Oryza sativa Japonica Group: one gene and its partners. The protein of the gene in region 2 binds, or shares a complex with, the protein of the main gene of each other region. Links are inferred from orthologs where the notes say so. Each region holds a gene or a part of one and is shown on either strand. Other genes may lie near its edges.

What was found.
Region 1: 7-hydroxymethyl chlorophyll a reductase, chloroplastic-like (region 2) and red chlorophyll catabolite reductase 1, chloroplastic share a complex: the UniProt entries of both Arabidopsis thaliana proteins name them as parts of the SGR1-CCE-LHCII complex. The link is inferred for Oryza sativa Japonica Group from reciprocal best matches to the Arabidopsis thaliana genes HCAR and ACD2.
Region 3: 7-hydroxymethyl chlorophyll a reductase, chloroplastic-like (region 2) and probable chlorophyll(ide) b reductase NYC1, chloroplastic share a complex: the UniProt entries of both Arabidopsis thaliana proteins name them as parts of the SGR1-CCE-LHCII complex. The link is inferred for Oryza sativa Japonica Group from reciprocal best matches to the Arabidopsis thaliana genes HCAR and NYC1.
Region 4: 7-hydroxymethyl chlorophyll a reductase, chloroplastic-like (region 2) and chlorophyll(ide) b reductase NOL, chloroplastic share a complex: the UniProt entries of both Arabidopsis thaliana proteins name them as parts of the SGR1-CCE-LHCII complex. The link is inferred for Oryza sativa Japonica Group from reciprocal best matches to the Arabidopsis thaliana genes HCAR and NOL.

The regions. Positions count from the first base shown.
Region 1 is NC_089044.1:13,536,808-13,542,019, reverse strand, and holds red chlorophyll catabolite reductase 1, chloroplastic, read left to right. Parts: upstream 1-2,246; 5' UTR 2,247-2,346; coding exon 2,347-2,718; intron 2,719-3,455; coding exon 3,456-4,073; 3' UTR 4,074-4,218; downstream 4,219-5,212. UniProt on the Arabidopsis thaliana protein: Catalyzes the key reaction of chlorophyll catabolism, porphyrin macrocycle cleavage of pheophorbide a (pheide a) to a primary fluorescent catabolite (pFCC).
Region 2 is NC_089038.1:14,947,351-14,951,685, forward strand, and holds the end of 7-hydroxymethyl chlorophyll a reductase, chloroplastic-like, read left to right. Parts: intron 1-292; coding exon 293-371; intron 372-798; coding exon 799-850; intron 851-930; coding exon 931-993; intron 994-1,095; coding exon 1,096-1,193; intron 1,194-1,373; coding exon 1,374-1,409; intron 1,410-1,546; coding exon 1,547-1,608; intron 1,609-1,708; coding exon 1,709-1,736; intron 1,737-2,006; coding exon 2,007-2,086; intron 2,087-2,193; coding exon 2,194-2,263; intron 2,264-2,383; coding exon 2,384-2,441; intron 2,442-2,549; coding exon 2,550-2,614; intron 2,615-2,703; coding exon 2,704-2,798; intron 2,799-2,894; coding exon 2,895-2,979; 3' UTR 2,980-3,262; downstream 3,263-4,335. UniProt on the Arabidopsis thaliana protein: Probable iron-sulfur flavoprotein that converts 7-hydroxymethyl chlorophyll a to chlorophyll a using ferredoxin as a reducing equivalent. Catalyzes the reduction of a hydroxymethyl group to a methyl group. Belongs to the chlorophyll catabolic enzymes (CCEs).
Region 3 is NC_089035.1:7,037,351-7,042,709, reverse strand, and holds the end of probable chlorophyll(ide) b reductase NYC1, chloroplastic, read right to left. Parts: intron 5,245-5,359; coding exon 5,176-5,244; intron 5,025-5,175; coding exon 4,885-5,024; intron 4,715-4,884; coding exon 4,592-4,714; intron 3,750-4,591; coding exon 3,557-3,749; intron 2,268-3,556; coding exon 2,082-2,267; 3' UTR 1,529-2,081; downstream 1-1,528. UniProt on the Arabidopsis thaliana protein: Involved in chlorophyll b degradation. Belongs to the chlorophyll catabolic enzymes (CCEs).
Region 4 is NC_089037.1:26,388,332-26,393,841, reverse strand, and holds the start of chlorophyll(ide) b reductase NOL, chloroplastic, read left to right. Parts: upstream 1-2,046; 5' UTR 2,047-2,168; coding exon 2,169-2,418; intron 2,419-3,011; coding exon 3,012-3,080; intron 3,081-3,514; coding exon 3,515-3,576; intron 3,577-3,711; coding exon 3,712-3,798; intron 3,799-4,079; coding exon 4,080-4,147; intron 4,148-4,245; coding exon 4,246-4,294; intron 4,295-4,393; coding exon 4,394-4,479; intron 4,480-4,919; coding exon 4,920-4,977; intron 4,978-5,403; coding exon 5,404-5,454; intron 5,455-5,510. Other genes in the region: plant cysteine oxidase 3, read left to right, coding at 1-71, 157-287. UniProt on the Arabidopsis thaliana protein: Required for chlorophyll b degradation. Chlorophyll b, chlorophyllide b, pheophorbide b and pheophytin b can be used as substrates. Belongs to the chlorophyll catabolic enzymes (CCEs).

The DNA of each region.
Region 1 (5,212 bases), on a different chromosome or scaffold from region 2:
TCGGTGCAGGCAAACTCGCTCGGTGATGGGATTGGGAGCTAGACCCTCTTCAAACTTGCGGAGAGCTAGATTTCTGCATATAGGCATAAGGATTTTTCGGGAGTGTTTGTATAGTGCTACTGTTGGATGCTGATTTTTTTTACCTAAACACCCGAAATTTAAGATTGGGAGTAGTATAGATAATTGTTTGGCATGTTCTAATATCTTCTTATTATTAGGCCCCACTAGAGACAAAACGCTACCTTGATAAATGATTACTTGGATCCATATCACTACGAATATGTAATTTTAGATAAAAATTAGTACTATTCACAATATCGGCTATGACGTGTCATTCGGATTTAGGGAAATCGGAACCGTGTCACTCTATCGCTATATCCATCAAAACTTTTCGTTAGCATCAATTGCACGTGGGACCTAGCTGTCAATTCCAGGTTTTTCTCCTCCCTTCACTCTCCTCTCTTTCCCCTACCCCCTATCTCTCTCTCTCTCCGGCGCTCATCGTCACCGCCACCGTCGTCGACCACCTCCGCGGCGGGAAAGTTCGGGAGCTGCCACCGCCATCTTCTTTGACTCCATCCACGGCAGGAGAGCTTGGGAACCACCGCCGTTGTCAATCTTCTCCCATCCGTGGCGGGAGGGCTCAGGAGATGCCAACGCTGTCGTCTTCAACCCCATCCACGGTGGGAGGGCTTGGGAGCCACTGTCGTCATCGACCTTATCCCATCCGCAGTGGGAGGGCTCGGTCGCCGCCGTCGATGTCCCTTGTAGCAGTCGTAGAAGATGGAGGAAGAGATAGGGAATAAAGAAGAGGGAGGATGGAGAAAGATGGAACTGATATGTGGGTCTAACGCCTAGGGGTCTGACGGGAAATGCAACGGTGATAGTGTAGTTCTAACTCCTCAAATTTCAGTGGCACGTAACCAATATCATGAATAGTAGTGGCATTTATCCGAAATGGCATATTTATAGTTGGCGTGGATCCTATTAACCTTTTAAACGTTTAGTGATAAGTATTCGCAGAAACTAAAAAGTGATCAAAATAAATGAAAAGGGAGTTGTGAACTCTCTAGTTCTCATATATAAATAAAAAACGAATTCATTCAGTGATTTAGAGACAATGACAAATCATTTGTTGGTTGCGGATCATCTCACTCAACCACACTTCAGTGATTGAACATGGGTCGGGGCCCCTATTTGACAAGGGAACTGAACCCATTTCATTGACCTTCGAACCGCTCTTGCCCTCCCCTTTCACTTCCATAGTGGTCTTCTTTGGCCGGCCCACTCATTTCACTCTCAAGCTCTCTGAGAAGATTCAAGATGTTTCGAATTCTCCTTCAGTAATATGGCCCCCACAATAATTAGAGGGGGGAAAAAGGAAAATGAAGAGCTAGTGGACTGAGGAAGAAAGCTAGTGTGCAGCATCTGGCCTTTTGTGAGCTTTGGGCCTTGGCCCATGGAGCGATAAGCAGCAACAGCAGTGAGTGATCAGCAGTAGCAGATGGCCTCAAGTGTATTAAGGTTTAGGTGGTGTGTTTAATCTCCTGAAGATAAATATAAAGATGAAGATTAAGTGTTTCACGCAAAACGATGTAGTAATAATATATGATTAATTAAGTTTTAATTATTACAAACTTGAAAAATGGATTAATATGATATTTTAGAACAACTTTCATATAAAAAGTTTTCCCACGAAACGTATCGTTTAGCAGTTTGAAAAACGTGTCACGAGTATCCAAAAGTTTATCCAACTTTTATTGGAGAAAAGAATAGGGCATAAGTATCACCTCGGTTCCCAAGCTTATGCGCTACATGGTGAGCTGCCCAGTCATTAGCATGGTACTTCCTCCGTTTTATATTATAAGATTTTCTAACATTACCCACATTCATATATATGTTAATAAATCTAGATATATATGTGTCTAGATTCATTAACATTTATATGAATATAGGGAATGCTAGAAAGTCTTATAACCTGAAACGGAGGAAGTATAAAAGAAAAAAACCAACTCATGTGGTGTTTGCGAAGGAGGGACTAAACTAGTCATTTTTGTGATTCCCAAATACCACCTCAATTGGCATTATCTCACATTTCAGTAATGCAGTGTCCGTAAAAAAAACAAGGCATTTGCAAATTGCAATAGATAATGTCTTGGAATCTGATGGATTTGTAACAGCAGCTTTCAGATCTCTCTTTCAATCATCTCCTATGTATATACTGCACTAGTTACAAAAGTAAAAGAGGGATAGTTCTACACGTTCACGGAATCCTTCTCACTCCCTCTCGCTCACATTCATCTCTCGCTCCGTTCGTCCACGCGTCGAACACCTCGCCGTGATCCAATGCTCCAACTCCGCTCGCCGCCGCCGGCGACCAGCTCGCCGTCCTCCGCCGTCTCCTTCCCGACCCTCGCTCCTCGCCTCCTCCCCCTCCGCCGCCGCCGCCGCGGCGCGGGTTCCCAGCTCGGGGGCAAAACGTCGAGCGCCGTGCGCGCGTCGTCGGCGGCGGCGCCGGGCGCGACGGAGCCGGAGGTGATGGTGGAGGTGGCGCACCGGGAGGTGGCGCGGGCGCTCGCGTCCCTGGCGGAGGCGCGGCTGGGCGCGCGGCTGCTCCCCTCCGCCGTGCCGCCCGACGTCGCCGAGTTCCGCAGCGGCGGCGGCGCCGGGAACGCCGTGGGCTCGCTCGACGTGCGCCGCGGCGCGCCGGGATCGACGGTAATGGCACCCCTCCTCTCACTTTTGCTCGTCAGATCGTACAGATTTACCTGTTCTGTCGATTGGAGAACATCAGAATCAGTCATATGAATTAGTGAAATGGTAGTGGTAAACTGGTAATGTCTAGAGCACCATCAGAATCAGTCATATGAATTAAGTAGTGAATCATATGAATTAACTAATTAAGTAGTGAAATGGTAGTGGTAAACTGGTAAAAACAGGCTGGCACAAACAGAGCAGAATAGATCAATGGCATGTCAAAAGACTTGGACAATTTACTGAAACTGTTTTACACTGAAAAATTGCTGCCGAACTATTTGTGATTTGCCCTATCAAGGTGAACTTGCAAACTTTTAGAAGCCAAGATCCATAATCCAACTCTTCGGAGCAAATTATGACTTTTCATTATATTGGCAATGCTCAAATTAGTTCATTTGCTTCCAATATCGAAATGGAAACAATTGGTCTGTTCTAGAGTTTGTACCTCATTCGTGATTCTTCCTATCACTCACAGATTTTGTTTCCTCTCCAAAAACAAAAAAACAAAATCACTCCAACTGAACGGACACAATTGGAGTGGCCAAAATGATCAACAGCATTCAAATTATGAAACTAATCTCACCACTTGAACACCTGAATTATGCTCCCTAGTGCTCAGTAGCTTAGCGTGGTAGAATTTCTTGAGTTCTGCAAGGAATGACAAATGGAGTTAAATTATTAATTTTTCTTGTCTACAGATTGATTTCATGCTCCAGTCCTCACTACACTGCAAAGTCCCAAATGGCGCAATCGACATTACATCTCTTCTCATCTTTCTGAACGCCTCGACAGATGCTCCGCATTTCCTCATGGAATTTATACAAGGTAGCCCAACTTCGATCGTGGTGCTTCTGGACCTTCTCCCACGGAAAGACCTTGCGCTCCATCCCGAATACATAGAGAGATACTATGAGAATACTCAGGTGGACAAACAGCGTGAGAAGGTCGAAGAATTGCCGCAGGCCCGTCCATACCGATCGCGATCCCTCTTCGTGCGCAGCACCTTCTCACTGACAGCAATACTGATGAGCATCGACTGTGGGCAAGGAGGAGAGGGTACCTTGGAAGAGATAGTGCGTGGTCAACTAGCAACAGCTGCTAGGGCACTTCTTCAAATTTGGCTTGATAGTTGTGCTGATCATACTTCAGAGATGGAAGAAGGCGAGAGAGAAAACATGATAAAGAGGGACCAAATTGTAAGGTCCAAGTCAATCGAGGTCGACCTGACTTCAAATTTGCCGAGGATGTTTGGTCCCGATGTCGCAGACCGAGTCATAGCTGAAATCCAGAAGGCCTTTGGGGTACAAGAGGCCTAGCTTTAGAACTGTGACCAGGAATTCATCTGTACATCATTCGAAAGTAATGTTAGTAGTCTTTTGTCCCTTTTGCTTGAACAATCAGATATATTGTGTGATTATAAATTTATAATTGCAAATACCATCAGATGTCATAATTTTGTCTATACAATTATACAAACCAATGTAGTGTTGGTTTTCATGCCGATTTTTTACTCTAGCCGTTTCAACCCAAATCTCGGCCTCCTCTAGAGATACATCGATGCCCTCATTAAAAGAAAGTGCCCAAAAAGATAATATAATTTATAAGTACCAGTAAACTGATTTCACGGGTGGTTTCCTCAATTTCTTAAAGAGAAAGGACAGTCAATTATTTTATTTTACAAATGTATTACTAGTTAATGGATAACTTTACATACCGTGTTTACATATTCTCATCCCATTAAAAATTTGCGATGAATCTAACTGCCTAATTTCATAGATCAACGCACCAGTTTATGACAAAATTGAAATGCTATCAATCAGAAATTCACTAACTACCAGCCATACTAATCCTGGCTCCCTACAGCTACTCGCAGCTCTAGAAGCACACATGGCACAAAACATAAACTCCAAGTTTTTTGGAGAGTTGTTTTTGCCTTCTCTTTTCGGTTGAAATACACAATTATTGTATCAAGAATGGAGAGTTCGAACGGCAAAGCCAAAAGGAAAAAATGTAAACAGAAAACAGCATCTTTTTTTTGACAACAGGCATATATTACCCGGCTTTAGAAAAAGCCCAAACGAAACAGAGTTCTTACAGAAAAACGAAACAAAAGGAAACAAAAAACTGGGGATTCCAGTTTTCCAAACCAGCTCAACAAAAGCTTGGACATCCACTAAACCTAGCCCCCTTCCAGACATTTTAACACCCACAACAAAAGACCAAATATTTTCAGAGCCCATTCCCATGAACTATCCTATATCATCAGGAAGATTATCAGTCGGCTTCAGCACTTCCAACGTCAGCATTATCTTTGCTTGAAAGACATCCAAGCTAGTACACTCCTTTTCTTTTAGCAGCACCTTCCACCTTTGCATCAAAGACAAAGACCTGTACACGACCTGCAAAGGTGATTTGATCAGTTTATTGTTAAAAACCCAATTATTTCTGGTAATCC
Region 2 (4,335 bases):
TTTTTCATATGGCTTGTGCTTACAACTTCTTACTTAAAGTACATTTGCATTTTACACTTATATGGTTTTATGGTCCATGAGGAGGTAACATGAGATACCACATTTTGTAGTATAAATTTTGGCACTTCCCAATATCTGTGATAGAAGATGAGGTACCTCTCGGTATCTCCTCAAGGACCATAGAATCACTCAAAAGTAAAAACCTTGCTTCCAGTCTACTGATTAACTACTTGTGCTGCTCATGCTTGCTAGAATTGAAGCAAAATTTGATTGATCAACTATTATCTCGTAGGACGCCAGATGAAGTTATTGCAGCCAAAGGTGTGAAGCCAACATTATCACCTAATCTCAATACGCTTGCGTTGGTTGAGGTAAATCTATCTCTTGTGCACACTATGCATCCTTTTTTTGGGTCACTAGCTCCTGTGTCTTGTCCCCTGCCCTTCAAAACCTATACAGGCATATGGGTGATTACGGCAGATATCTTTTGCCTTGGACATGAACTTGGAGTCATTTTTTCCAGAGCATTTTTACCTCATCCCCTTTCTAGGCAATTCGAATTTAGTTTGGTTTCAAAGGAATCAGAACTAATGTTGTTCTATTCAACCTACAAGATCAAATTTTACTTAATGTCATTCCAGTAGTGACTCTAAAGGCAAAACAAAGTCCAATTTAGGCTATTAGATTCTACAATCAAGACCATAATGATATGATGACAATATGACATGATAGTTGGTCCATACTCTATCTTCCTGACTAACTCTGTCAAAACCTCAGTTTCATGCTATCCTTTGACAGGCAGCTGGTGTGAAGCGTCTTCTCTTCTGTGGTGTGGGTTGTCAAGTGCAAGGTGTTTACCTTGCCCAAACATTCTTCTATTTCTAGTGGTGACAATGTGTTGTATCTCATAATTATCCAATGTGGCAACAGCTTTGAGATCAGTTGAGAAGTATCTTGGTTTGGAAAAGCTTTATGTGCTCGGGACAAACTGTGGTAACTACTAACTGATAACTGAATTAGTTGATCTTGAAATTTGTAATTACTGTGTTGCACGGAGGATATATTTGAACGTTGGCTTACAGTAAATATTCACAGTGGACAATGGTACCCGTGAAGGACTTGACAAGTTTTTGAAGGCTGCAAGCAGTGAACCAGAGACTGTACTGCATTATGAATTTATGCAGGACTACAAGGTAAAACTTTGGAATAATTAGTACTCTATTTTCTCTTATTTTTGACATACTGTTTAGAAGTCAACAGTTCAACAGGCAGTTTTAGGACATAGAGAAAAACTTATTGAATCAACAATATAACCATGTTGTTGCTTCCAAAATTTTGATTCATGACTGTTGTATAACTCAGCGTATTTGCAGGTTCACTTAAAGCACTTGGATGGACATATTGAAGAGGCAAAGCTTATTTTTCTTTTTTCTTTTCTTGTGCATCACTGATTCTTTTAAAATAATCATTTACATCACTGATTCTTCTAAAATAATCATTTACATCACTGATTCTTCTAAAATAATCATTTACTACCTTAAATCAGGTTCCCTATTTTTGCCTGCCAGCAAAGGACCTTGTTGATGTTATTGCCCCATCATGCTACAGGTAATATTTGCCCGTCATATAATTGTGTTGCCAGATTTTCTCCAGAATTTCCAGTCATCATTCACAACGAGCTTATGTTCTTACTACTACCATCCTGCAGCTGCTTTGACTACACAAATGGCTTGGCTGTAAGGTTTCCATCGTTTTAAAGTTGAATATTTGTACTCTTGCTATAGCAGATATTCATATTTTGGAAAGGAACCATCTGGTATCTGGCTGTATTATTCCTTCTGCTCATTGTCACTTCCTAGTACTTAGTTGTGCTCGTAGGGTTGGTGTTTATTTTCGTTGGTCTGATCAAATCTGAATGGCCATTATATGTCCCTTCTATACAGTTGCCCTTCCATTCTCGGTTTGCTCCCAGAGATAATTAATATACGTTTGATAAAGAAGTGCAGGATTTAGTGGTGGGCTATATGGGTGTACCAAAGTACCCTGGAGTTTCCATGACACAGCACCCTCAATACATTACAGTCAGGTAGAGTGATGGGGATGCTGGAGCATGGCAATTGATTGTAGCCAGTTTCTGTTGAGCAGCGAATTGATTTTTTTTTCGATCATAATGGTATTATGGCATTCCTTTAGGAATGATCGTGGAAGGGAGATGCTCAGCCTAGTAGAGGGCCTCCTGGAGAGTACACCTACAGTTAGCAGTGTATGCGTCGATTCACGAACTATCAGAGACTTCTTTTTTTCAATGTAACTTAGATGAAGACTATGCTAGTACATATATCTGAACATGAAGATTAATTGTGCCTTTCTCTTTAATTTTCAGGGCGTCAGGCAACCATTTGTTATCGAGACGGTTAAAGCTGATGATGAAGCAAAACAGGGTATGAAGTGAGCTATTAGATGTTTATTCCCGGGTTTTCTACATTTATGAGATTGAATTCTATACTAAGATACTCCTAAACAGTCACCTAAGCTTGAAAATTTTGCAGGGAGAGGACCTTCTCAGCCAGCTCCGACATTTGTCGGCAATGTTATAGCCTTCCTACTGAATCTGGTTAGTATTGCTCGACCATATTTCGCATACATAAGATGGATCGAACACATGTATATAGTAAAAATACTTCTTTTGGTTTGATTATTCAGATTGGGCCGAAGGGGCTAGAGTTTGCTCGCTACTCTCTGGATTATCACACGATAAGGAATTACCTCCATGTGAATCGGGCATGGGGCAAGCAAAGGTATATATATATTCTTGATTTTGTAGGTTTAATCTTGATGTGAATATACAATTAACCTGAGATGGTTTACTCAACTGGTTGTTGACATGAACACAGAGCGGAGCAGCACATTCCTTCCTATGCCAAGAAGATTGTGGAGGCGTACGACAAGGACGGACGCATCGAGTCGATGCTCCAGTAGCATGGGACGCTAGTCTGCATTCTAGATTATTATTATTTTTCCTCATATCGACTTGTTCATTCTAGTCAGTATATCCCGTAGTTATGTACATTCCTGAGCACACAGCCAGGGTTTAGGGGAATTTCCTCTTTACTAATTTTTTACATGTCTTATCTGACTGTCTTCCTGGGAGAATCTCCCGATAAAACAGTCGGGGGCTAGGGGAACTATACATATTACGTGTACATTGATCAAATATGAAATTTCTTGTATAGAATTGGAAAATGGTAAGTATTCTTGACCAGCCTTGCCTGACATGCTATATATAGTTCAAAAAATTAAAAATTATACTAGTCAGATGGGGTAATAGACAACAGATAACCTTATTCTAATGAGAGGAGAAAGTAAGGTTTTGACAAGACTAGCAGTTTTTACACACATTCATTTAAATATGTTTACATATTCATTTAAATCAGTTGCATACATTGATAATCGGCCTATTAAGTTGCTCGAGGTGATAAGAAATGGGTGCAATATATAGTTGTTTTTAGCACTAATAGATGATGAGCTTAATCCATGGTGTTTCCTCGGAGTCTCGGAGATGAGAGGGGTTGATATTCTGGTGCTTCTACTTTTTACTGGAGCTACATGGAAGGTTGATGACTAATTGACTATGCACTTTCAATTAGAGCTGTTATCCAGATGGACACGGTAGATCGCGCGCGCTAGCGACATGGACACGGCTAGATCGCGCGCTAGCGGCATATCGCTAACCAGCGACGCCCTTCTCTTTCAAAAACATTACTAGTACACTCAACAATACATGTCTTTTTTTTTTCTTCCTAGAGAATTTTCTCCTAAATTACTTATCCGATCTATAATCCGATTACATTGTTATGATCGTTGCAATTAAATCTTTACAACAAGATCTTACACGATTATATTCTGATAAAAAAATATCTATGTTGTAAATTACTTTTATTATATATGTAAGTTACTTTTGTCCTATACATAAATTACTTTTAGATTTAAGCTCTTTAATAACTTATATATTTTAAATCACGTATTATTTTCATGATCTATTTACATCATTGTAATCTACATAAAATATGAGACAAAACAAGATCCATGTTGAATATATTCAAACATTTCATTAATTTAAAAGTAATTTATTTAAATTGTAGTAGTAACTTAGCTATGCAATAGATGTAACTTAACTATGCAATAGAAGTAAGTTAGCACAAAATAGAAGTAAGTTGTTACAACATTATAAGTAAATTCGAGAGAAAAATATTTTGTATCTAAAAATTAAATTTAAAGTCCATAAATTATAGAATTGACTAAAAACTATAATAAACATAATCGACTTAAAACATT
Region 3 (5,359 bases), on a different chromosome or scaffold from region 2:
CCAAAAAAATCATTGACCTCAAGGCACATCAGCCACTGTTCAGGATGAACACCACGCCACATTGGAATAATCTGTACTGGTCTGGCAGTGGCATGTATGTACATGATGATGGCAATATTGAAGACTAGAAAGAAAAAGGCCAAGAAGTGGCTTTGCTAGGTGAATTAAGGGTGTGTTTGGTTCCTAACCATACTTTGTTGTCATTTATCAATAAATATTGTCACACGGTCTAAGTTGAGGCGATTAAATTATTGGCCACACCTTAGTAAGTCTAAGAGAATCTTGTTACATTTTTCTAAGTCAATGACACGTGAGACTCAGTTTATTAGAAAAGAATCTTGTCATAGCTATGGCTACAACAAACAGCTGCTAATGGGATTAAATCTATCTAATCTTAGATGTAGTAAACAGCAGTGTGGCTCGCAACCAAACACCCTCTAAACATTGACATGCAAAACAAACGCCGCCGTGGCTGCTGCTGGTAGCAAGCTGCAATCAGAGGTCCAAGAGGAGTACTACTGTACCAGCCATGTTCACTGCCCGGCCAGGGCAGTCAACTTGTCTGTAGTTGGTTAATCCAATCAAAGTAGCAGCAGATTTAGTGAGATTTCAATCAGCTAAGCAATTGCAAGTAAATGCGTGTTAGTAAGGCAAAGTTTGCATGCATATTTTATTTTAACCCCAGTGCTTAAGCTGATGGAAAATTAAAGGGCATATATGGATAGATCAGTTCAACCTAAAACTATCCCCTAAAAAAAAAGTTCAACCTAAAACTTGACTAGTAGAGAAGAACGGGCAATGCACTTAGGGGCAGAGCTAGGTAGGAGAGAGGGGTGCCCAGAAACCTGGCCAAGAAAATTTTTTTAGCTATAGTTTTTCTATTTTTACTATATATGTACCTCCTTAATCCAAACTCAAATACTCATATTAGCTTAAACTTGATTTAAAGTAGAGTAAAGCAAGTGAATGGTACATCTCTCTATTTCGTTTTAGCTCCGCCCCTAAATTGTCTTATACTCCCAACGAACAATGCAGAAGAGACAGGATTGGTGACATTGGGGCCTCGGACTCAAGAAGGAAGCTTCCACCCTCCAACTAATGGAAGGTGCCATTGCTCAGCAGAAAAAAAGGGAGAAATCGACACCCAACTTCGGAAGTGCACGCTGCTATCAACTCTCGGAAAGAAGCCTCACGTCGTCTCCAGCTTGTAGTTCAGAAAAGTTGCCAACGCATGCTCCGGCTCGGCTGCTCATCAGCGTGTGCACTCTCCACTCACCATCAGATATTTTTCATGAAAAAAGCACTAGCCTGTATTTTACTTTTGGAAGAAAAGAAAGCCCCTTGCTCACAATGGCTCGCACACAGAAATCCGTACATTGTTTGTACGAGGTGAAGTGAACGTCCTGCTTCCCCATCAAGAAGAATCATCACTCTGCAAGGCTGCAGGTGCAACAAACTGCATAAATGATAGTAGTAGTATACCTTAATGCAACTTCTGAATCTCCCCTGTTGTGATCAAGAATTCAAATGGACAAAAACACAGGATTACTGTCTTACTGATAGCTTTGCTTTTAGCTTTGAAGAAGCTTTCCTTGTGATATATAACAGACTGATGAGTCATATATATACATAGCAGATGCTGGCTTGATTACTCTCACTTACTTTCAGTTCTATTGGTGGTTGCAACATACGGTGCAACCGTGCAACTGGAAGCGACGACCAGAGAATTACAGTCATCAAAACTACATTACTACATGCATGTACAGCAGATAACATTGTCCATCGAATCTGTTCGTGCTCAGTTTAGCTCAGATACACGTTTTTACAAGTCAGCTTACAAACAGTGGAATGCCCACACAACAAATGCTATTTACCCATTTTTACTGAGCACATGGTTAGCTTGACCTTAAATGGTGAGTGGCAGCTGATGCTTCTCACCGTTGGGCGTATGTACGCAGTAAGCTTTCTGGGTTCAATTTCCCCCCTTCATAAGTTTCGTGTGTCATATATCAGTACATAATAGAATCCCCGTACTGAAGAAAAATGGTGTGTGTAGCCATCTAGTTTGGCAACTCCTGGGATCATGTGCCTGGAAGAGGTCCACCTGAGCTGGAAAGAATTATGAATGCGCAGACGACAGAGAGCGAGAACACAGAAACCCATGTGTTTTCTGTGTACATCTCCATGGCATCTGTGAAAGAGAAGCGTGCTCGACTTTCAGCCCAATTACGGATTCTATCAGCCTCTGCTGCATATACTGCTCTTCCCTGCAATGTGCTTATGATCAGTCACACATTCACATGAATTAATCATCAGACTGAAAGTATTATGAACTGTGAAGTATGCATAAAGTCGCTTGGTATGCTGATCTCTCATTTGTAAGAATATAATATTCTTTTACTTCATCTGTTTGATTTTCAACCTTGCACATAGGATGATTGGAGCATTGTCCATCACAAAAGACACTGATGTATACAGCACTTTTCTTCAGTTATATTGTGAAAGATTCTGAAGGAACACAAACGTTATAATTAAATTATTACCCACTTCTCAGCATTTTTTTTTCTCAAATGTCATGTTTCCTAAATATCTTGCGAAAATAATACATGTGTTCATTCAGTTTTTCCATTAATAATTGTCAATCTAATGGTGAGAAGCTTCGACGGTACCAAAATTTGCAGGTGATTTTCTTTCCCAAAATCACAGCCAATAAACCAGTGAGATACCAAAAAAAACGTCAATATGTATACTTGTGCCCATTTCAGCCCCAAAATATTACTAGAGTGCAATCATTTGACGGGTGCAGTTGCTTTTTAAAACCCCTATCATTCTCTCCAGTTAAATCTGTTGCTGGATTTCATGTGGACTAGGTGAGATCCAGCAATACATGTGAGAATTAACTATGTCATATTTAACATGCAGTACAAACAATAGCACTGAGACTGTTGGACCGAGCTAAGCCATGGTGGAACCAGGTGTTTGAAGCCGCCATTGAGGGGAGGACCAGCCTAAGGCCTTCCAGAAGAGCTCTGGCCAACTAGCAGTAAAGGTGATGGACTGAGCTGGTCATAATGAACCTGGAAACTGAACCATCAAGACAGACCCTATTTATGGCTCTTACTTATGTAGAGACCTGACAGAACTGGACACTGGTCTCAAGCTTCATTATGATCTGACTCGCCTGGTTGATCCAGTCTTAGAACGAATACTGCTTATTTAGCATAATTTACAAGAAAATCACCACAGGCATAATTTGAATAGTCTATGTCCATTGTTCTTTATATTCAACAATGAGTTTCATATACATTTGGTGCAACGGTAGAAGAGCTTGGTACTCTTTCTCTAGAAATGTATATTTCACTATTTCAGAAGCATAATAGCTCAAAAGTCTTGAGGTTCAATATCATGAAAAGTGCATGCAAGATGCATAATAATGAAAACAACAATCATGTTTGCACGCATGGCTTCTGCAGGAATTCAGCATATTTCATATACTGGCATTGCTGAAATAAAAGGTAAAGCTGAAAAGTACTAGCTGCATAGAGAAGAAACATACCTCTTCATCAAACCATCGGCCTCGGCGAACCCATGCAGTAACCAAGGCAAGCAAGATCCTTGGTGGTGTCAAGTAGTTTATCGCCTTTCCACTTCCTTTCACAACTCGCATCCTCGGAACCAATGTCCTTGCAACTGTTTCTGGAAGCTCACATATTAAATTGAACATCTGTTTATTTCTCAGAGAAGAACCGCTGCAAAAGATAGAAGGATTATAAGTTAACTAAAGCAGTCTGCATAGTTGGGCATGTGGCAACAGAAGAGCTGACCAGATAAATATGGAAGAAGTGGCATGCACCATCAATTGAAGTTAAAAAACATATTATTCTCCGTATATAGTATTACCAATAAAAAATATTAATATGTTAGAACTTTCCAGTGCATTAGTCATTTGTAATAATTATATCTGGAAGTTATCTCACAAGTTATTTATATATTGACAGAAACTATGAAGCCTTACAAGTATAAAGTATGTGCAACATCACAACTTTGAACTGGATTTACAAGGCAGAGTATTTGCACAAGAATGGAACATTAATTCTTTCAGGTTCTGATTAACCGCCACGCACCCAGTTTACCGTGTCATCGGGATTATAGCAGATAGGAAAAGCCAGAGCTAGAAGTGTAGTAGCAAAAGCAACTTAATAATTAATGTGAAGCTGATTCTACAGAAATAGTTGCCACAAATCAAATCCTAGAAAGAAGAGATTGAAACAAAGAAGATTTGGGCAGCGAGGTATCTCAAAATTTTGACTCTTCCCCATTCAACAAAGGAGACATTCTGATTGTTGATTAACTAAAATAAATTCAAAATGAAGATAGCGTGAAATTCTGATTAACCAATATGTGTGGTTCCATAAAGATCCTACTGAAAACTTCTTATGCACTTGAAGTCTTATCTTGTTTTACTATCATCACACAAAGTGTGGTTTGGAGTTTGGACAACATGTGCACCAAGCAATAAATATATTGAAGTTCAGAATGAACTAAACAAGCAAATCATCAATAATTGCATCTAAATAACTTCAGAGGTTACCTCAAAAGGAGGTCCGTAAGGACCATTCCAGGAGAAGCAGTGTGTACACCAACTTTTGATCTTCTGCTTTCCTTCAGAAGTGATGCTTGAAACTGTCTAAGGCCACACTTAGTTGAACCATAACTGCAAGTTTGCAAAATAGTATCAGTTTTAGTTTCACTGCACAAGTAACAACATCAATACAATTATACTCGTTTTTAGCCAATGAAGAAACCACAAGACAATATCCCTGTCCAGTATAAGAGCTACACGAACAGTGGAGCATTAAAAATTTGAAATCATTAGGTACTTACACAGCTGTTAATGGTGTACTTGATCCTCCAGAACCTGCTCCATCCATGTTAAATACGTGACCTCCCTTTTGTTGGTGTTGCATGACATTCATGGCTTCTCTGGTGCACAGTAAAGAGCCAACTAGGTTTGTTGAGACAATCTGCAAACAGAAAAGGACACAATAATGTTGTTTAGGCTAAGCAGAAAGAAAAATAAGATGAAATAACTAAGTCAGGTTGCATGACGAATATAGTTCTATGAACTCTATTAGAATGGAAAAGACTCTGATTTTCCGAAGATAATTAACGTACCTGAGAAATATCTTCATCTGAAAAGTTTACCAGTGGCCTAAAACCTTTGTTTGTGCCAGCGTTATTTATCTATACATAAGAATAAGAAGAATAGCACATGTTAAGTACATTCTGCGATGCCACAGTACAGAACAAAATAAAAAGGTTATAAGTACAAAAACTTGTGCACTCAATCCAAGTATCC
Region 4 (5,510 bases), on a different chromosome or scaffold from region 2:
GCCGCCCTACTCGGAGGGCCGCCTCCGCCGGTGCACCTTCTACCGTGATTACCCCTTCCAACTCCACCGCAGTAAGCAAGCACAGCTGCAGAAATTTGTGCCATTTCTTGGCTTGATCGATCGGCGTTAATTGTTGATTTGTGCGTATACATGCAGATCACAGGTTCGCCCGCAACTTGAGCGCCCAGGAGAAGAGCCAGTTTGCATGGCTGCGACCGATCAACGCCAGCGCGCCGCCGGACCTTCGGATCGTCCCCTTGACGTACAGTGGCCCGCCGGTCGTCTAGGCCGGCCGGCTCGCCGGCGGGCTGGCCGGCCGCCGCCGGCCGCCGATCGAATGAACGGTGGCCACCGCGCGCGCGCTAGCTCGATCGTGTGTCGCTTACTGTTGACGAACGAATAAATTGGTGTGATATGATCGATGGTTTGCGACGATGATTATTAGTATTGGAGCGAGTACTCGATCCGCTTGTTATCTTAGCAGTACTTTGCGTTGCAGCAACTTGCTCTCTTCGTGTGCAGCAATAATAAACAATAATGACCATCCCCAGATGTTTTAATTACTTTGAGTGTCCTTAGTGTAATTTGTTGGTGTGAATTTCTCAATCCTGTGTGATGTGGTGCTCATGCGTATGAAGTGATTGTCAGGTTGTGTATGCAAAGAGTTTACTGAGGCTGAGGACGAACTTATGCAGATCAAGACAGAATATTATGCTCTGCAAATGCAGTGCACAAGGATACTACAATTAATTTGGTTGGGAGTATATGCGATGTACAGCCAGCATGTGCAAACCAGCAAGCAACGCTCACCGCGAGAGTGGCATGGTGACAGCGACGAACTGATCGAGACTTAATAGTATCACTAGTGCAGAAGCAACGGCAACATATCGATCGTAGTACTACTAATTACTACCAGGACACGTGTAATCACTACCCCAGATGCAACAAGAGAAGGGTGGCGTTTCTTCCCAGTAGCCACATTTTCCCTTTGTCTAACTTATGAATCAAGTATGCACTAACACTACAGTCCATAAATCCCAAGTGTTCCTTACCTGTAAAACTGAAACACCCTGCTCAAAGCCAAGCAACTAACTGAGTTTCTAAGCAGCATAAAAACCGAAGCAAGCAATTAACCCATAATTAATTAATTATTAATTATTATAAATTTGATAAGTTGGTCCATTTGAATCCTTTAGAAAACTTCTATATTTTTTTTTAAAAAAACACTTTTTAACAGTTTGAGAAATGTTCTAACGAAAAACGAGAAAAGTTGAAGTTTAGAGTTAGAGTCTAGAACAAAGCATAATCATCTTACTTTCATCCCCTTCTCATCATGTGTTTCTCATAGGTGTGTAACTATATAGGATCCAATACATTCTTCCCAATTTATAATTATATATGGTTTAGCCCATGTTTTATTCTCAATTCACTCATCCAGTCAATTCCTAATTATATGGTTTAGTCCGTTGCATGTTACTATAAGAAAGGAAAAGAAACTATTATAAAAGGAACTATTGTAAAGCTTCGACTCCAGGTATTCCTAGTCTCCTGGTAGCTGTGGAAGGAACGAAACTCCAGGGTTTTCGACTCTGCGCTCGCTTCGGTCGCAGTGGTTCTGGAGTCCATCCGCTCGGAGGGCCAGCTGTGGTCTTTAGTCGGCGTTGCTTTTTTTGGGGATTTATTGGGAGTGTAGCGTGGCTTTGCCCCCTCCCGCTGTTTGGAATTACGTTTTTAACCGTCGTAGTAGTTCCTAGCTTCAAGTCCCCCCTTTAGGCATAAGCCAATCTGGCTGATTGCTTTGTGTAACAAAAACTCTTTTCCTACTAATATATTGACGTGCAATTCTTTTGCGCGTTCGAAAAAAAAAACTATTGTAAAGCACATGCATATAATAGTTAAAAAAACCTTGCAAAATAGTACTAGTACATACTACTAGTAGTTTAAAAGAGAGAGAGAGAGAAAGGATGATTGCTCACACTGACTTGTGGGCCACCTCCACCTCTTAACATCCGTACTTAACTCGCAGGCCCCCTCCCTTCTAAAATCCTCGCTCGTTAATCGTTATCCAGACTCCGCGACGGCGAGCCGGCAAGGCGAGCACCGCAGTTGACGACGCCTCTCCACTCCGCTCCCCTCCCCTCCCCTCCCCTCGTCTCGCTACCGCCGCAATGGCGGCCACCGCCGCCTACCTCCCGCTCCGTGCCCAGGCGCAGGTGGGCCTGGCTCCGCTCCGGCCGTCGGGCTCGGCCGCTGCTGGGGCGCGGTTGCCCGGCCGGACGGCGCGGCGCCGGCTTGCGGCGAGAGGCGGGCCGGAGGCTGCCGGTATCCGCGCGGAGGCTGTCCCTGGTGGTGGAGGGGTCGCGCGGAGGGCGGCCATGGTGCCCCCGTATAATGTTCTAATCACCGGTTCCACGAAAGGTGTTGTTGAGTTCTCCCCCCCTCGTCGTCGTGTTGCTTCGCATGCTTGATCTTGCTTACAAGAAAGAAGTAGGATGTCTGTGGATGCTTTTTGTTGGGATGCAATTTAGTAGGAGCATATAGGAACTGGTGGTGATCGATATTTCTGAAATTCTGAATGCTTGTGTTGGAAATAATTCAGATGGTCAGGGTGTGGTGTGGTGGCGATGTTGTTTTTTCGTGCCTTATGTAGCCGAGAAGAGAGCAACACCAATTTGGAAGTAGGGGTGGAAGTGGGTAGTGCCGCTACCAGCATAAGAACCTGCTTAATTAGTTCATTTCCTACTTTCTAGTACACAATTTAGAAGACAAAATGAACTAGAACATCAGTGCATTCGGCATTGACCTTTTAATCAAACAATGCAAATCAGCTTGAAACTGTGTGGAGCAATTGCTTTGATACTGTATTGTGGTAAAAAAATATTTAAATCCTGACATATTAGATCTTTTGGTCAATGGTGGTAGAGGTATATCTCCTAAACGCTTCCTTTGTGGAAGCTTGTTTCAAAAACCTTTGTAGTACAACTCAATGACCCTTGTTTGCTCTTAAACAGGTATAGGATATGCTCTGGCAAAGGAATTTTTGAAGGCTGGCGATAATGTTGTAATCTGCTCAAGATCAGGTACAGAAATGATTTTGTGCTTTCAATAGGTAGCGCTAGTTTTAGTAATTATTTTTGAGTGATGACATAAATAAAATTGGATAAATTATCGAGCCTAAGATGCATTGCAAATTGATTTGCATGGTCAAGTCTCGTTTACCTGTTTCTTTATTTTCCTCTCTTCTCATTTGGATGATCCATTGACCTAACACTAAAATATGCACTATCCAGCTTTTGTCATTTGATGCTCATTATCGCTCATTAGGTGCTCTATATAGGGGTCATCTGCTTGATATGACTGACCTGTTAAATTGATCTTTCATGAAATTTTAAAATGAATAAACAAATGGATTGCTAGGATTTTCTTGAGCCCACTTTTAGTGAGAGAATGAAAAAAAAAAAAGCAAACAAGTTACAGTTTAGCCTTTCCTTGACATGCAGTCTATCCTCTACAGCTGAAAGGGTAGAATCTGCGGTGACTGACTTGAAAAAGGAATTTGGAGAGCAACATGTGTGGGTACCTACTTCCTACTGCTGAGCTACTTGATACTTTTACTGCCATTGGAGTCTCCACTTATAATTATGTTTGTTGAAAATTTTACAGTGCAATAATACTTATGCAACTGAACTGCTTCTATTTGTATTATTGCAGGGAATTGTCTGTGATGTTAGGGAAGGAAAGGATGTAAAGGCACTAGTTGATTTTGCACGTGACAAGATGAAGTATATTGATATTTGGGTACATAATCACCCCATCATCATCAAATATCTGCACATGAACTTACTCATGTTTATATTCTTTTCATATGTACAAATATGAAAATCACTGGCTATAAAGTTATGCTGATTCTCACTACATACTCATGAGTGTTCGAAATTTCTCAGCTACCCTTTTTGAATATTTAAACTTCAGTAATTTAATTGAAGCACTCAGTTATGTAGTGTTGAATCTTTTTGGGTAAAATCTAGAACCATAAGAAGGCAGGATTTTCTCCTTATCTTTGTGTTCCTTTGGCACAGATCAACAATGCTGGATCAAATGCATATAGTTACAAACCGTTGGTCGAGACCTCCGACGAGGCTCTCATGTAATTTTCATGCTGTCTTTTTATTTATGGCTTGACCAAATACATTCAATTGTGCTTTCAAGCTATATTCAAACTCCACTCTTTCTTTGATTTAATAGGGAAGTGATCACAACTAACACTCTTGGATTAATGATATGTTGTCGTGAGGTATTTCTTTCAACTCATACTAGCTTTCTGAATTTCATTACAACAACTGTGAAGATTCATTTTCCAAATATTCATCTTCTTGCCATCTTGCCATCTTAGGCAATAAATATGATGAGAAACCAACCTCGAGGTGGCCACATATTTAACATCGATGGTGCTGGTTCTGATGGAAGGCCAACCCCAAGGTATGCATTTCCATTTGTTCTGTTCTGTAGTAAAATGTAGACACTCAATGTGCAATTCAATCATTATATCATTATGTTTGAATTCTCATACAGTATGAAGCTATGAAATTTCACATCATGTATTATGTCCTTTTAGTTTATTGCTAATTGCTAATAGGAGAGTACCTATGATTCCACATAACTGTGCCTCATAAGTTTCTGTGCTGAATTTGGCTTCCATATAGACATATACTGTACTGTTATCAGTAGTTTCAACCAAATGAAAAAATTACACCACTGCGGTGGCCCCCGCGCGCGCGCGTTGGGGGGTTGGGGGTATCAAGCGATATTAAATATAATTATATTTTGGTAACTAGTGCTTTTGTGGTTACACCAGGATACTACTTAATAACTTAATATCCTTTCAGAAATAGACACTGATTATTATTGATAATGACTAGGTTTGCTGCATATGGTGCAACGAAGAGAAGTGTGGTGCACCTTACAAAATCTCTGCAGGTAAAGGTTATGTGAGGATATAACCTCATATCATTTTGTTTTGATCAGAACATATCCAGTGTAGCATTTATTCATAGTCCACTATTTGTGGCATTGTAACTTCATATAAATTGTTAACTGCATTGTGACATCACAACTATGATGCAATATTGATTACCACCATTTCTCAGTATCCAGAACAATAAAGCTGTGATTATCAAATAGTTACTCAATACTCATTAATAATTTGAAAAAAAAAACATAAAGCTGTAATCATCCATATAATCCTTGGACTTGAGTCTTGAGGTTCAGACCCTTCCCTTCTTAAATGGAACGATTTTTCTGGAGAACTCGCAATGTAGGTTTTCATTTCCTCTTTTTTTTGTCCTTCTGGAATTCTTGTTTATTAGAATTTGCAGGAAGAAAATAATTTGATTCTAATTGCAGGCCGAGTTGCAGATGAATGAAGTGAACAATGTTATGGTGCACAATTTGTCGGTACATAACTCCAACCTTTTTCCTGGTGTCTTACTACTTTAGACTTAACTAGATGA